Linked DNA regions of Nothobranchius furzeri. The protein of the gene in region 2 interacts with the protein of the main gene of each other region in a pairwise test. Links are inferred from orthologs where the notes say so. Each region holds a gene or a part of one and is shown on either strand. Other genes may lie near its edges.

The links.
Region 1: the proteins of pin1 (region 2) and amot interact in binary tests that used the Homo sapiens proteins (3 or more experiments, as listed by UniProt). The two-hybrid records come from large-scale screens. The link is inferred for Nothobranchius furzeri from reciprocal best matches to the Homo sapiens genes PIN1 and AMOT.

Annotation. Positions count from the first base shown.
Region 1 is NC_091750.1:44,157,436-44,165,328, forward strand, and holds part of amot (angiomotin), read right to left. Parts: intron 7,031-7,893; coding exon 6,484-7,030; intron 6,083-6,483; coding exon 5,938-6,082; intron 5,382-5,937; coding exon 5,289-5,381; intron 5,149-5,288; coding exon 5,003-5,148; intron 4,226-5,002; coding exon 4,076-4,225; intron 2,911-4,075; coding exon 2,714-2,910; intron 685-2,713; coding exon 556-684; intron 72-555; coding exon 1-71.
Region 2 is NC_091744.1:9,174,557-9,181,647, reverse strand, and holds the end of pin1 (peptidyl-prolyl cis-trans isomerase NIMA-interacting 1), read right to left. Parts: intron 3,081-7,091; coding exon 2,971-3,080; 3' UTR 2,356-2,970; downstream 1-2,355. UniProt on the Homo sapiens protein: Peptidyl-prolyl cis/trans isomerase (PPIase) that binds to and isomerizes specific phosphorylated Ser/Thr-Pro (pSer/Thr-Pro) motifs.

The sequences.
Region 1 (7,893 bases), on a different chromosome or scaffold from region 2:
TTCTGGAGCGCTGGTGGAGAACTTTGATCATGGCGTCCTTCTCAATGATCTGTGCATGGAGATTCTTTATCCTGGAGGATATAAGAACAGAATACAGCTTTAGCTCCCTTAATCGAGAGAAATTGAGTGTGCAAGTCAGCACTAATCCCACCTGCTTCTTTAATTAACAGGTTCAGCAATAGGCAACAACCTTAACCCCGACCCAAGGTAACAGGAACCTTTACAGCTATACAGTGACACCATGTGACCCTTCTCTCTGCATTTCCATCAGAGAGGAGAGGTTTCTCTGCTGCGGTTAACAGTTTCCAGACAATGCTCTCAGCTGGTTAACACTGGTAATGTAACCATGAGTCCGAGTTAGGAAAACTTCTGTGGTTCTGGTGGTCCATCCATCAGTAGTCTGAGCTATGTGGTGTTTCACAAAAGTCTTTGACTCATCACTCCTGCAGTTAAAGTTCAGGAGCGACGACGCCTCAGCGGTCAGGGTGAGGGGAGCCTGCACGTCATGTACATGTGAATGAAGACAGAAGTGCACACAGTGAATGTGGCTCTAACCTGCTCTCCATGTCCAGGCAGCGACGATTAGCCATGAGGATCTCCTCTTCCTCCTTCTGGATGCGAGCTTCCAGCGACGTGTCGTAGCTGCTGCTTGGTGAGTGGTTTATTCCTGCTGCAGAAGCATCCCTGCACAACAAAGGTCAAAGTTCACGTCAACAGAACGGCGGCTTCCAGTCATCAGGTGAGTTTTACCATGTCTCTCACTCTAGTCCATATACATAGACCAGGAGTCTCCTGCCTTGTTGTACCTTTGAAAATAGTCTTTGCACATGGGACATGGGGACTGTGTCCACATGTACACCAATGAGGATAATGTGCATTTCAGTCTGTGGAGGAAATGTGTGGAACAGGGCTGATGAGGAATTAAAAAGCTGTGTAATTATAAATCAACTAAAATATTTTATTAAAAGAATCATTAATGCAGGAGTACATGTGATGGGCCGTATTTCTGCATGATCTGGTGAGCGAGTTAGTGTTATGTGTGACATGGAGGACACCTTAAGTATACAAATATTTATATGGGTGTTTTTATTGGATGAGGCATCTGGGGGGTAGGATTTAATGAGCACATCATAATTTTCCTGTCATTTCCTGATTAGATCTGTTATTAATTATTTAATAATAATAATAAAATAATAAATAATATAATTAATATTTTTTATGTCTGAAATGAAGATGTCATTCATTCATTCACCAGCACAATTTACTCCTCAAAACATTCCGTTCAGGCACAAGAAGTGTAAATTATTACTTGTATTACATGTGGGGTTACCATGGTAATGTAACATTTTCATTGAGAACAACGTGAAATTCCTCCCGCCTTACACAGACTGTGCTGTTCCTATGACGCTGGTCAGAAGATTCGATTGATGTGGGACTACAACAACATACTCAGCAGCTTTTGGATATTATAATCGGTTTCAGTCTAGTGGGGATTTTTGGCTCATTTGAGATTTTGTAATGAGATGCGATCTTTCACCTGCTGTGGGCTAAATGGAAGCGTGCAGCCTAACACGTAGAGGATTCCTATTACAAAATCTCTAACTGACTACACTTACCACATGTTGGTAAGGTAACGAGTATGTTGGACATTAAATGACCCAAGTCCAGATGTTCCTGCGTGAGACGTATAGCTATGCAGACGACACCCAGCTCTATCGGTCATTTCCACCAGACGACCACACTGTCTCTGCACGAATATCAAACTGTCTCTCTGACATATCAAAATGGATGAAATCCCACCATCTTCAACTCAACCTCTCTAAAACTGAACTACTTGTCATCCCAGCGAAACCATCCATACAGCACAATATCTCAATCCAGAATGACTTCCTGTCTCTGGCTCCTTCAAATGCAGTTCGAAATCTGGGTGTTGTGATTGATGAACACCTGACCTTTAAAGATCATGTTGCCTCTGTTGCTCGTTCATGCCGCTTTGCGCTGTATAACATACGAAAGATCAGACCATACCTAACACAACATGCCACCCAGCTCCTGGTGCAATCTACTGTCATCTCCCGCCTCGACTACTGCAATGCCCTTCTAACTGGTCTTCCAGGCTGTACTGTGAGACCTCTTCAAATGGTCCAGAACGCAGCGGCGCGTCTGGTCTTCAATCAGCCAAAAAGAGCACACGTCACCCCTCTGTTCATTGAGCTCCACTGGCTACCGCTAGCAGCACGCATCAAATTCAAATTGCTAACACTAGCATACAAAGTCCGAGATGGTACGGCTCCCCTCTACCTGAATCCTCTTGCAAAGGCTTACGTCTCGGCCCGGCCGCTCCGGTCATCACAGGATCATCGGCTAGCAGTGCCTACACCACGCTCAGGACAATCCAGACTCTTCTCATGCATCGTTCCACAAATGTGGAATGACCTTCCAAGCACTACCAGAACAGCGGCTTCCTTTTCAATTTTCAAGAAACTCCTGAAGACCCTGCTCTTCAGAGAGCATCTTCTAAACTAGCACCCTCCCTGCACCCGTCCCCCCTCTCTACTGTCCACTCCTTGTTCCCTCCTCTCCATGACTGATGTCAAGTTGTTGTTAGCCTCAAGGGCAACATGCCGATTATCACTTGTAAGTCGCTTTGGACAAACGCGTCTGCTAAATACATAAACATAAACATAACGCCCCTAACTGGAGAAACGCTCACCTCTGAGTAGCAACAGAAGCAGCAGCATCCAGAGCAAACTGCCTCATCACGCTCTCCTCCAAGTACTTCTGCTCCCACTTGGTCATGTCGGCCTCTAGAGCCAGAATCCGTTCCTCCTTCTCCCTTAGATGCTCCATCAGGGCTGTGGCGTTGTACTCAGACGGGACGGCACCGCTGCTCTGAGAGCTTCCCTGACGCTGCGAGGCGAGGAGACAAAAAGGTAAAAGTGGGGTTTTATCTCCCCGTCAAAATGTTTACTGTAGAAACAAAAGCAACAAAGCTTCTGAACAAAACGTTAAAAAGTGTTTGAGTTTTACTAAAATATTAACTGTTATATTTAGAGTTTCCACAGGTGTGGGCCTTGTGGTCTAGTCTTCACTCAAGGAGAGCTGCCACCTCCTAAACCTTTCTGATGCCTGACGTTGTATGATCAGGAAGGAATGAAGCCAAGTACAAGGCAGGAGAGCAGAATCCCCTGCAGCCCAACACCTGGATCACATCAGACGCAGATGCGCGACGATGCGTCGTGAAGCGCTGTGGAACGAAGAGCGCTTCTACTCGGCGCCCTTGTTAACCTACGGTCTCAATCACATCAGCTGTGAAGTGCCGAAGGCTCGCGGCGTGCAGCGATCATTTTGGTGTGTGCTCTTTTTCACGAGCCGTGTGAATTTTGTCAGGAAGTCAAACAGAAGAGGCAGGCCAGTAAATGTAACAAAATAAAGACTTTTTTCTAAATAAAGCACAGCGATTGATAAATGTGATCATTTTTGTGTATCTAAACAGAATAGAGATGAAAATGAACAAAGACACAAACACTCACACACACACACACACACACGCACAGCAAGGGCATGAGGGTGGGGTGGGGGGGGTGGGGGGGGGACGGTAGGCGTGAGCAGAAGCGCTTGTTGAAAAATCTCGCCTGATATAAACAGAGCAGCAGCGGGCAGCACTCAAATTTCGTGAGCGATCCACTTAGTGGCGCTTCGCTGCTGATGTGATCCTGGCTTAAAGTGGCAAAGCCAAAAGAACAGGTGGAGGACTTCCCAGTGCTCCTGCTTTGGAGTGCAGATCAACAATGAACTAGACAGAGAAGACATCTCCAGTCTTACAAGTGTTCTGACACGACTTTAGCGTGACACTCAGGAACGGACAACTCTTTCTGCTGCAAACTCTGGAGATGTGAGATAAGCTGAGGAACGTGTTAGACCAGGTGTGGTGGAGCGTTTATGAACATTGTCTGCTACTTTTACTTAGCTTGTTTTATTTAGCTGCACCCAGATGCATGGTCACCCCCACAACAGGCCTGCTCAATAACTTGTGATGAAGTCGAGGAGCCGTGAGTGCACAACGCTGCCTTACCTGCTGCAGGCGGAGAGATTCCAGCTCTCTTTCCAGTCTTGTTCGCAACCGATGTTCAAGCTGTTCCCTCTTCTCACAAGCTGCCTGCAGCTGAGCCAGAGCCTGCTGCATCCTCTCCACCTTCTCCACGTAAACCTGCTTCTTCTTCAGCTACACACACACACACACACACATTAGAAACACAGCTCTGGACAGTTTGATGGATGAATTATGATCTAATCACTGAGAACAGGACGTTCACACTAGCTGGACGAGGTTTTTCCAGGATTGTACGTTTCAAAGGTGATTAAAATTATGTTTGATTCTGAAAAAAAGAATCAAATCTAATATATATATATATATATATATATATATATATATGTGTGTGTATATATATATAACATACATACATACATACATGCATATACATATATATATTTATATATATAAATTTTAATGTTTAAATTTTATTTTGATGATTATGCGGCACACTTTGACTTCCATATGTAGCGCATCTGCCGCGGTTAGGGTTAGCGGTGTTCTAACCATTATTTGTACATCCACCATGTCCCAAACACGGTGAAACAAACTTCAAACTCAGCGTTTGGAGCTTGTAAGGCAGCACCAGCTGTCTGATGTTGCGAGCTGCAGCAGCGTCAATCTTTCCGGCTGGATGAATGAATTTCGTCATCAGAGAGTCAATATTCTGCTTCCTAACTGGAGTCAATAATGACCAGACAAAGCTATCAGTTAAACACCAGATCAGCCGGCCATTGCAAGTGTTTTCCCTCTAATATTCGCCCTCTTTGTGCTGCACTCTCCTCCTCGTCTCGTCCTCTCCCTGACCGGGAACCCCTCAGTCCTGTCTAACTCCCCGTTGTCCCCTGACTGGCTGACCCACCACTGGAGGACGTTTTTACACAGACGGACTACGTAAAAGAGCACTACCTCCTCCTCCAGCTTGACCACTTTGGCCTGAGCATTGTTGAGGGCCTGGTCTCTGATCTCGATGTGTCTCCTCTGGTCATCTGTGGTGGAGCGGAGGGCATTTAGCTCCATCTCCACCTTCTCTTTCTCACGCAGCGTTTCTTTGTCTGTAGATGTAGAAGAATGGAAACTCAGCATGAAGAGGTAGAGCTGGGCAATATGGAATCATTCATCAGGTTAGGGTGTGTGTGTGTGTGTGCGTGCGTGCGTGCGTGCGTGTGTGTGTGTGTGTGAGTGTGTGTCTGACTCTGTGTCAGCAGCTGGGAGATGGTTTTGCGGTTGTCCTCTGAGCCGTCACACTCTTTTGAGGCGAGCTGCTTGTTGGCCATCTCCATGCGCTCTGTGGAAACGCAGCAGAACAGATTCATGCCACCGCTGCTGTTGTTTAATAGTGACTCAGAATATGGATACAAAATATTAAGAACACAAACTGCAAGAAGAGCACAACTGTGCTGGATAAGCTGCTGTTTGCAGAGCAAAACAAAAGCCGCCCATCATTTCTTCTTTTTTATTTTAGTGTGATCCAAAAACAATAAGTGACTCATTTTTTTGTTATTTGTTTTTGAATCTAAAACACAAAAACAAAGAGGCTTTTCTTTTCACACAGCCAACGTTAAGCGTAGACCCTACTTTCTGAAAATGGCCAAGCCCACCTCCACCCTGAGAACAGCCTTCTGGTGGTTTTAACGGGTGTGTAAAAGCAAACTTCACCATCCTCACTCACAACTTAGCTTCTGGTTTGTGTTTGTTCACATCAGAACAGAAAAACAAGACAGGATTAAAGAAATCAGTAGATTCTGACCCACTTTGGAGGATTCTAACGGACCTTTCTGTAATCTGACTGATAGAAAACGGTAAGGTCCTGTCGATTTATTGGTGTGCGTTTCTGCACTCACCTCGCAGATCTCTGTTAAAGTCGTGCAGACGGCGCACCTCCAGCTCCAACTTGTTCCTCATGGTCTTCTCTAGCGCCTCCCTCTTGGAGGAGGACTTGGCCAGGTTTTCATAGGCCTCCGATACCAGCTGGATCTCCATTTCCAGCTACACACACATCAGAGAAAACAGGCTGTGAGCGTGGCACCATCATATCAACAAACAGGTTTGATTCATTCAGAAGGCGCAGAACAAGACTGAGGAACCACTTATTCCCAAAAGCAGAGAGGCTCATGACCTCTGACCTTTGAAATGTCCTCTTCTCTCTGTCACTACTGGTGTTAAGGAGTTTATTAATGACGTTTTATTTCCTTTTAATCTGCCTGTCTTATGCAGGAACTTTAGGAAGCCTTATCCTCTGGGAACCCGTCTGCATCTTATTTTCAAGTTTGTGGTTAAACTCGAACAGGCTAGTAAGACGTGGTCTGATTGGATTGTGTGTTCAACTAATTCCCACAACTCACTTAAAAAAGTTACAAATGATTGAGGCAGTTTGCAGAAAATATTACCTTGTGCAGCTTTGTGACCTTCTCACGACAAGCCTCCATCTCCTGTCTCAGCATCCTGTTCTCCTCCGTCAGCACATCCACCATCTGTTGAGCCCGGGACATCATGGCGTATGGCTCCCCCTGCATCGGGGCGTAGGGGTGTGACAGGGGGAAGTGTCCTGCCTGGACAGACAACTGGGGCTGAAGAGATGGAGACACCTGGAACTGCTGCTGCTGATGGTGCAACCTTGGGGCAGAGCCATAAGGATCCAAAGAAAAGGTGTGACTCCTCTGTGGGGTCTGATGAGCAGACATGGGGGTGTAAGGCTCCGCCCCTTGATGGGAGCCGGTGACCTGTGAACTACGATGCCCGATGTGGGGAGGAGGCTCTCCTTGACTCTGAGGGTGTTGGTGAGGAATAGAAGGATGAGAGGAATGGGAAGCAGAGAGAATGTTGCAGAGGGTGGAGGACTGAGCGCGGGACAAGGAATCAATGGAGGTGACGGAGGAGGTGGGACTGTGCTGCTGAAGAGGCCTCTGGTAGTGGACAGAACCCTCCTTACTGGACCTGAGGAGAAATCAGCACACCATTCTGTGAGACAGGCTGAAACCACTTCTCATAAAGTGCGCGTGTGCAGCTGGTCCTGGACCAGTAACAGGCTCCCATCATGATTTTCAGCAGTTACTATTTTACTGAATTACACCTGAGAGGAAAAACTTTCTTAAATATGGATCTAAATTTCAAAAACAAAGCTGAAACAGAAACAAACAGCCGTCCAACAGCTTGTGAATTCATGAGAACATATCAGCTGCTGACTGATGGCCTATAAAGGTTTCTCGTTACCCAGGAGACACACAGGGGAGACATCACGATTGGTCGAAGCATCGAGCTCTCCTAAGATCTTCGTAATCTTATCGTTGAAAAGCATTCTGATTGGAATGGTTATTGGAACGTTTCCAGAATGCTGAATGTTCTGTGAGCACCGTGGGGGGGGGGTGTTATCCAGAAATGGAAAGAGCATCGGTTCACCATAAACCGGCCACGATCAGGTGCTCCACATAAGATTCCTTTCTGAGGAGTTCAAAGGAAAATCAGGAGAGTTCTCCGAGAGACGAGGACCACTTGGGCAGAACTTCAGGAAGACCTTAAATCAGCGGGTTCTGTTGTTTCAAAGAAAACTATAAGCAATGCACTGAACCACCTTGGCCTCCATGCACACAGCGAGCGGAGGCTCGACTACATTTTGTGAAACAACATTTGGAGAAGAATGTGGATTACTGGGAAACCATAGTAGGGTCAGATGAGACCAAAATAAAACTTTTAGGCTGTCATTCTACACTCCATGTTTGGAGAAGAAATGGCACTGGCCACCACCCAAAGAACACCATACCAACAGTTAGGTTTGGGGTGGAAGCATCATGGTGTGGGAC
Region 2 (7,091 bases):
CATGGGTGAGCTGCTACTGGTGCCGTATAGTTTGGTCCGTGAGTAATGTACGGTCATCTCCTCAAATGATTTGAGACACATACCAGCTCTTTTCTGATCCATCCATTGAAGCACAGTTTCTCGTAACTATCAAAGCCATGAAAGACTTCTGGTACATCGGTCTATGGACACGCTGTCTGCCCGATCCCTGTAGCAGTTGGTCAGTGAAAGATGCTGCTTTGGATTTGCTTTTTTACAGTTCACAGCCTTAACTTAATGTTTTGCAATTATTCAAGAACTTGCAGGATTTTATAATTCAAGAATCCTCAGCTGAAGTTGTTTTCAATGAAGTTTGTCATTTCTATATTACATGTGATTAAATTTGATATTTGTGACATCCATGGAAACTTATGTCTCATTTACTTGTTAAGTCAGTTAGCTAAGAGAGCCTGTTGTAACTGAACTGACTGAATCACTTGTTATGAGCAGTAACATAAGTCTGTGTGACCCACACAATTAAAACAACAAAAACAAAAAATCTGAGTTCAGTCATCATTATGGAAGTTTGCAATTTCTTATTACAGAATAAATCCCCAACCCAGTGACACGTTTGGCTGAGACTCTCTTGGTCAGCTTGCTTCTCACACAAAACTCTCTGTCAGGAATCTTGGCATGACCTTTGACCCAGCTCTCACCCTGGATTCTCATGTCAGTACTCTTGTTCGCTCTTCCTCCTTCCATCTCAGGAACGTTGCTAAGCTGAGTCCCATTCTGTCCCGCTCTGAACTTGAGACAGTTATCCACACCTTCATCTCCTCACGCTTAGACTACTGTAACTTTCTCTTCACGTGTCTGAGCAGAACCTCCCTGACCCATCTACAGGTGGTTCAATTCAATTCAAGTTTTTTTATCTAGCGCCAAATCACGACAAGAGTCGTCTCAAGGCACTTCACATAATAAAACATTCCAATACAGGTCAGTTCATTAAGCCAATCAGAAAAACGTTTCCTATATAAGGAACCCAGCAAATTGCATCAAGGGGCTGCCAGTCAACTTCAGGATTCATTTCAAGATCCTGCGTGATCTTTACTCATGACAAAATAACATGAGGATATCAGTAAACAGTGTAAGATAACTTATGCTCCACACAAACACAACTCAGCTGAAAAATGTTGGTGTTGCTAGACACTTTGCTCAGTTTTATGACATTTTGTCGGACTCTGAACCAGGAAATGGCTGCAGGCAGTGAAACACAAACAGGGTTTCCCCCAGTGCTTTATAAGTCTGGCCACCCGCCCCCCTCCCCGACCCTATCGTGTCCGCTGACACGAACAGCACAACGAAACTAGAGCCCTCCATCAGCTGATACTGGTGAGACACAGCAGCGGAACGTGTGCAAATCCCCCCCCAGGAGGAGCGCTGCTGGACGGAGCGCGTGACCCCCCCCCCCGACGGCCGAATCCGCCAGGCTTAACTCATTTTCTGGGGGAAACCCTAACAAGACAAAAAAATCTGGATCAACCGGTGACTCCGCCCCTTAGCCAATCAGAGGCCAGAATCACGATGCTGGCCCGACCCAGCCTTGCCAGGTACCTCGCAGCAGGGACTAAAATTAGGGGAGAAACTAGAGGAAAAATACCAAACCACGCCCTTGAGAACAGTGGTCAGACCAAGCTGCATCAGTCTGAGTTGCTCTGAGTAGTGTTTCTGGAAAAACAGACGTATTCTGTTGGAGTTTTCCTCTCCACTCTCACTACATGCTTGCTTAATATGGGGATCACTGTAAAGTCTCAGACACAAGTCAGCGACTCCATGCAGTCTGCTGGGTTTTCTTACATAGGAATAATGAACTGATCTCAATGCACCAATAATAATGTTGAACTGGAATGAAATTAAGTGGATGCAATTTCAAGTCCAAACACTAAAGAGCCAGATAGGAAACTTTGTGTAAAGATGTTGGACTAATACTTAGCCCCTCTGTATCGTGGCCCCTTGATGGCCCCGTATTCAGAAAAATCTGCCACTGCTCTGGAATTAGCTTCAGTTAGCAGTCATTCGCTTTACATGTCAGTGATTTATTTTGGGGGACGAGGGGTCCACTAGCTGGAGGAGATCCAACAAGGAAGTCATTTGGGACCAGGAACCAGACAAGTGACAATACACTCAGTTTGTAAAATGTTAACAAAATATCACAGAGCTGAAGCAGACGACTCAGTACACAACTATCTGGGAAGGTTTTCCACCAACCCCCTTGTTTTTATTTGTTTCAATCTGTTTTTCTGTTACAATACTCAGGCATATTTCTGTGTGGATTAAATGTTTTTAGGAATCTAGAAACCTGAAACGTAACATAAAAAAATTTGACAAAAAAATTAATAAAAATGAAACAGATTTTTTATTATTTTTTATTTGTATTCCCCAATGACAACAGTGGTAACAGTTCATCTGAGCATTAAAGCTATAAAAGCCTTTACTTTACGCTAAAACCTGCAAGCTTTTGATAAGTCCGGGGGGAACAGACCATGCACATTATCAACCCAAAAAAAGAAATGAAGATTTCTGAATCTCTGCCGAAAACAAAGTTTAACTAAAAAGTCATGTGATGAGAGTAAAGAATGTAAAATAACACTTTGTTCACCCTAACTGTCTTTAAAACCTTCTAAACAGAACCAAAGAAACAAAAACAGATTAGATTACTGCTTAGGCACACACCAACAGCAGGAATGAAACCTGTTACAGAAAAACATAACACTCTGACATGCACGACCCGATTCTAGCATTTTGCTTTAGCTCATTTTTGCTGAGTGTTTCTGGAGGGCATTTATTACAACAGGCAATAATGTTCATATATGCCGGCCGTTTTCTGGTTATTAAAAGCTTGAAGTAATCAGGAATATCTGAAACGCTCATTGCATTTCAGTGTCATTTAATTATCCTTTGTTTTTCTGTCATTCTAAGAGCAGAAGGTGGTGCTGTGTGTGTGTGTTGCATTCAGCCCGTGCGTAAGATGATGTGGACTCCAGAGTCGGTAAAAACAGGACCACTCATGTCTCCCACTTTCAGAGCAAAGGAGGCGTCTTCAAAAGGTTTCTGCATCTGACCTGAAACAGAAATGTTGTGTTAGAGAAAATAATTGTCCTAGTATGTTTCACAGTTTTTCATTCTGACCTTGCATTAATGACCTGTTTTCAACGTAGGAGCTTTTCTAAGATATTTAATGGAATTTTTATTTCTCGGTATGGTTTTTAAAAGCTTATGACCATGTTATGCTGTTATTTCCTTATGAAAAACACCCCCAAAGTGTTGAAAATAGAAAAAATGCTGGAAGTGCTGCAGCGGTGTAAAACATTATCTGGTACTCTCACTGGTGCTCTTCAGCCAAGGCATCCACATGAATGTATAGCAAAAAGAGGTCTGAGTTTCGATCTCCTGAGTATGGCAAGCCAAATGAGCATTTATTCTGATATCAGGATATCAGCCAGAATTGTCATGAACATGTAAGCCATTTCTGTCCACTAGTTAACTAGTTAGCCATGTTTGTGTCAACTAGTTAAATAGTGACAGCCTAAATGTCAACTAGTTAACTAGTAAGGCCTAAATTCTCTCTAGTTAACTAGTTAAAATGTTTCATATCTTACTAGTTAACTAGTATTGCTCAGTGTGTTCACTAGTTAACTAGTGGACAGATCAATGTCCACTAGTTAACTAGTTAAAACACATTTAGTTTTTACTAGTCAACTAGTAAGGTACAAAAACTCGTACTAGCTGACTACTGAATGTAAAAATCCCACTTGTTAACTTTGCCCAATTTGGCCAGCCGCTTGAGCATTAATTCTGATATCTTGTCAACAGGTCAACTAGTTAACTAGTGAGGGTCAAACTGTACACGCTAGTTAACTAGTGAACACATTTTGACCTTCACTAGTTAACTAGTTGACACAAAAATGGCTCATTAGTTAACTAGTAAAGGCCAAAATGCATACCAGTCAGCTAGTTGAAGGTATTTGTGTCTCACTAGTTAACTAGTCAGGGTCAAAATGAGCCCACCAGTTAACTAGTGGGAGACGGAAATGTTCACTAGTTAACTAGTGAACACATTTTGGCTTCACTAGTTAACTAGGTGACACAAAATGGCTCACTAGTTAACTAGTAAAGGCCAAAATGCATACCAGTCAGCTAGTTGAAGGTTTTTGTGTCTCACTAGTTAACTAGTGATGGCCAAAATGTGCACACCAGTTAACTAGTGACAGAAGAAATGCCCACTAGTTGACTAGTGAACACATTTTGGCTTCCTAGTTAACTAGGTGACACAAAAATGGCTCACTAGTTAACTAGTAAGGGCTAAAATGCATACCAGTCAGCTAGTTGAAGGTTTTTGTGTCTCACTAGTTAACTAGTGACAGTTCAAAGTGTCCACATGTTCACTAGTGAAGGCAAAACTCCTAACTAGTTAAGTAGTTGGAGTAGGGCAGTGCCACTAGTTAACTAGTGAACCATTAATGACTCACTAGCTAGCTAGTTGATTGTAGCAGGCTCACTAGTTACCTAGTTGATGCATCCATTGTCCAAACTAGTTAACTAGTGAGGACATAAATGTATACTAGTAAACTAGTTCAAGCCTACATTCACACTAGCTAGCTAGTTGCACAGAATTCTAATTAGGAGGCAGAGAATTTCTCAAATTGAGGCTTTCTATTGGCTCACTATGTTAAAATAAAATATGAAAACCAATCACAGTGCGGAATTTTGCAAAATCCCACCCCAAACATTTGCATGCGGCACACAAGTTAACATGCTGGCCAGAGGAACCTCAGCTAGTAAACTAGTAGTGGCTTCAGTGTGACACTTACATGTAAACTTGTGAAGGCGGAACTGCTCACTAGTTAACTAGAGAGGGTACAAATGTCCACTAGTTAACTAGTGAGGTGCAAAATAAGTGTCACTAGTTCACTAGTGGGCCCCAAAACGCCCACAAGTTAACTAGTAAGGTGTGGATATGCTCACTAGTTAACTAGTGAGGTGCAGATTTGCTCACTAGTTAACTAGTGCACCATTAAGCGCCCACTAGTTAACTAGTAAGGTGCAAAAAAGCATCACTAGTTAACTAGTAAGGTGCAGATATGCTCACTAGTTAACTAGTGGGCCCCAAAACGCCAACTAGTTAACTAGTAGGGTGCGGATTTGCTCACTAGTTAACTAGTGAGGCGCAGATATGCTCACTAGTTAACTAGTGACGTGCGGATTTGCTTACTAGTTAACTAGTGAGGCGCAGATATGCTCACTAGTTAACTAGTGAGGTGCGGATTTGCTCACTAGTTAACTAGTGAGGCGCGGATTTGCTCACTAGTTAACTAGTGAGGTGCGGATTTGCTCACTAGTTAACTAGTGAGGTGCAGATATGCTCACTAGTTAACTAGTGAGGTGCGGATTTGCTCACTAGTTAACTAGTGAGGTGCAGATATGCTCACTAGTTAACTAGTGAGCATATCTGCACCTCACTAGTACCTCACTAGTTAACTAGTGAGCATATCTGCACCTCACTAGTTAACTAGTGAGGTGCGGATTTGCTCACTAGTTAACTAGTTGCATCTAAAAACACATACAAGCTGACCATTTTTGTCCACTAGTTAACTAGTGGAACAATTGAAATTTCACCAGTTTACATGTGTGGGAGTGCAGCAGCTCACTAGTTAACTAGTGCCTGAAACACAAATTATGCATATTCTAATGAGAAGGCGGGCAGAAGACTCCTGTTGGGTATAAGAATCCCACCCAGTCTAAAACGTATGTGCTGTGGCCTCACAATCTGATGGGTGTCCCTGAGCGCCAAGGCTTGCACTCATTAGTCATGGTTTGACACCTACTGGTTGGTCGTTGCGGCGGGTTCGAATCCCGCAGATGGCATTCCGCAATTGCTGTAACATTATTTATTTTCTCTTTGTGTTGTAATGTTCAAAGTTTTATTGTTTTACTGCTTTTATTCCCCCCTCCCAAATCAAGTAAAGCACCTCGTTTGGTGTCGTGTAAGGGAGATCAGTTGGCGAGTTCAAGTCCCATTGAGGAGAATTGGAATTTAGTGTGCCAGTAATTTTATTGTAGTTCATTTTTGTTTGGTATTGAAAGTTTGGTATTGAAAAAGGCTATATTAAAAATAATTATTGATATATATATATATATATATATATCTCCATCCATCCATCCATCTTCCCAAGAAATAGATCAAATGACACTGAGGGAAAAAACTGTGGTTATTTTGGAGAGGGTGCTGGCTGCAAAACCACAAAGGCGGAGCTGCACCCCGCCCATTCACGCAAACTCAGCCTAGCCCACTGACTTCCGTTTTTGTTTTCAACTTTATCGCAAACTGACCTGACCCACATGAATTACGGCTGTTACTAGTTTACAGTCGTTAATGCTATGTTCTATACTCCAATTAAACAAGATAAATATAACTTGCTACATGACAAAGACTGAATATATCTCGAAATGAAAAGGTTTCTTTTAACGAATATCTGCCTACAGCTGGTCTAATAAAAGTGGTGTACAACAGCACTTCGGTCTATTGAATGGCCTCTGGTAGTCTAGTGGTAAAATCGTCTGAGTTGGTTTTTGCTTTCCCCTCAGCTGATGCTGGTTCGATTCTCGGTGGGGTCATCAGCAGTCTATTTAGCCACATTCAATTTGTTTATATTTTAGTTGTAATGTTTCTTTTCAGCAAAATATTTATGTCGCTAAAAGTTCTTTGAATTTGGTCGTTCCTAAACAGCATTTTAGTTGAAACTCTGCTCACAAATGGACTCACACTGGCTAAATAAACGAATAAATAAATAAATAAACACATTATATGTTAAACGGTATACCAGTAAATTGTTGTAAACATAGTACTGGCAAGTGTAGCTAGAAATGAAGAAAAGAGGTTGTAAACTACCTAAAACTTACACTACTGGGAGGCGAAACAGCATGTCAACCTGACTCCATAACCACTACACCACCACATCTGTTATAAATCAAGTGGCGTTACATGTAATTGTGCTGCCCAGTGTGTCTCTGAGATGGGATGTATGGTTTATTGGCGGTGTCTCAGTAGAAGTCATTTCAGAAATAATTTGTCA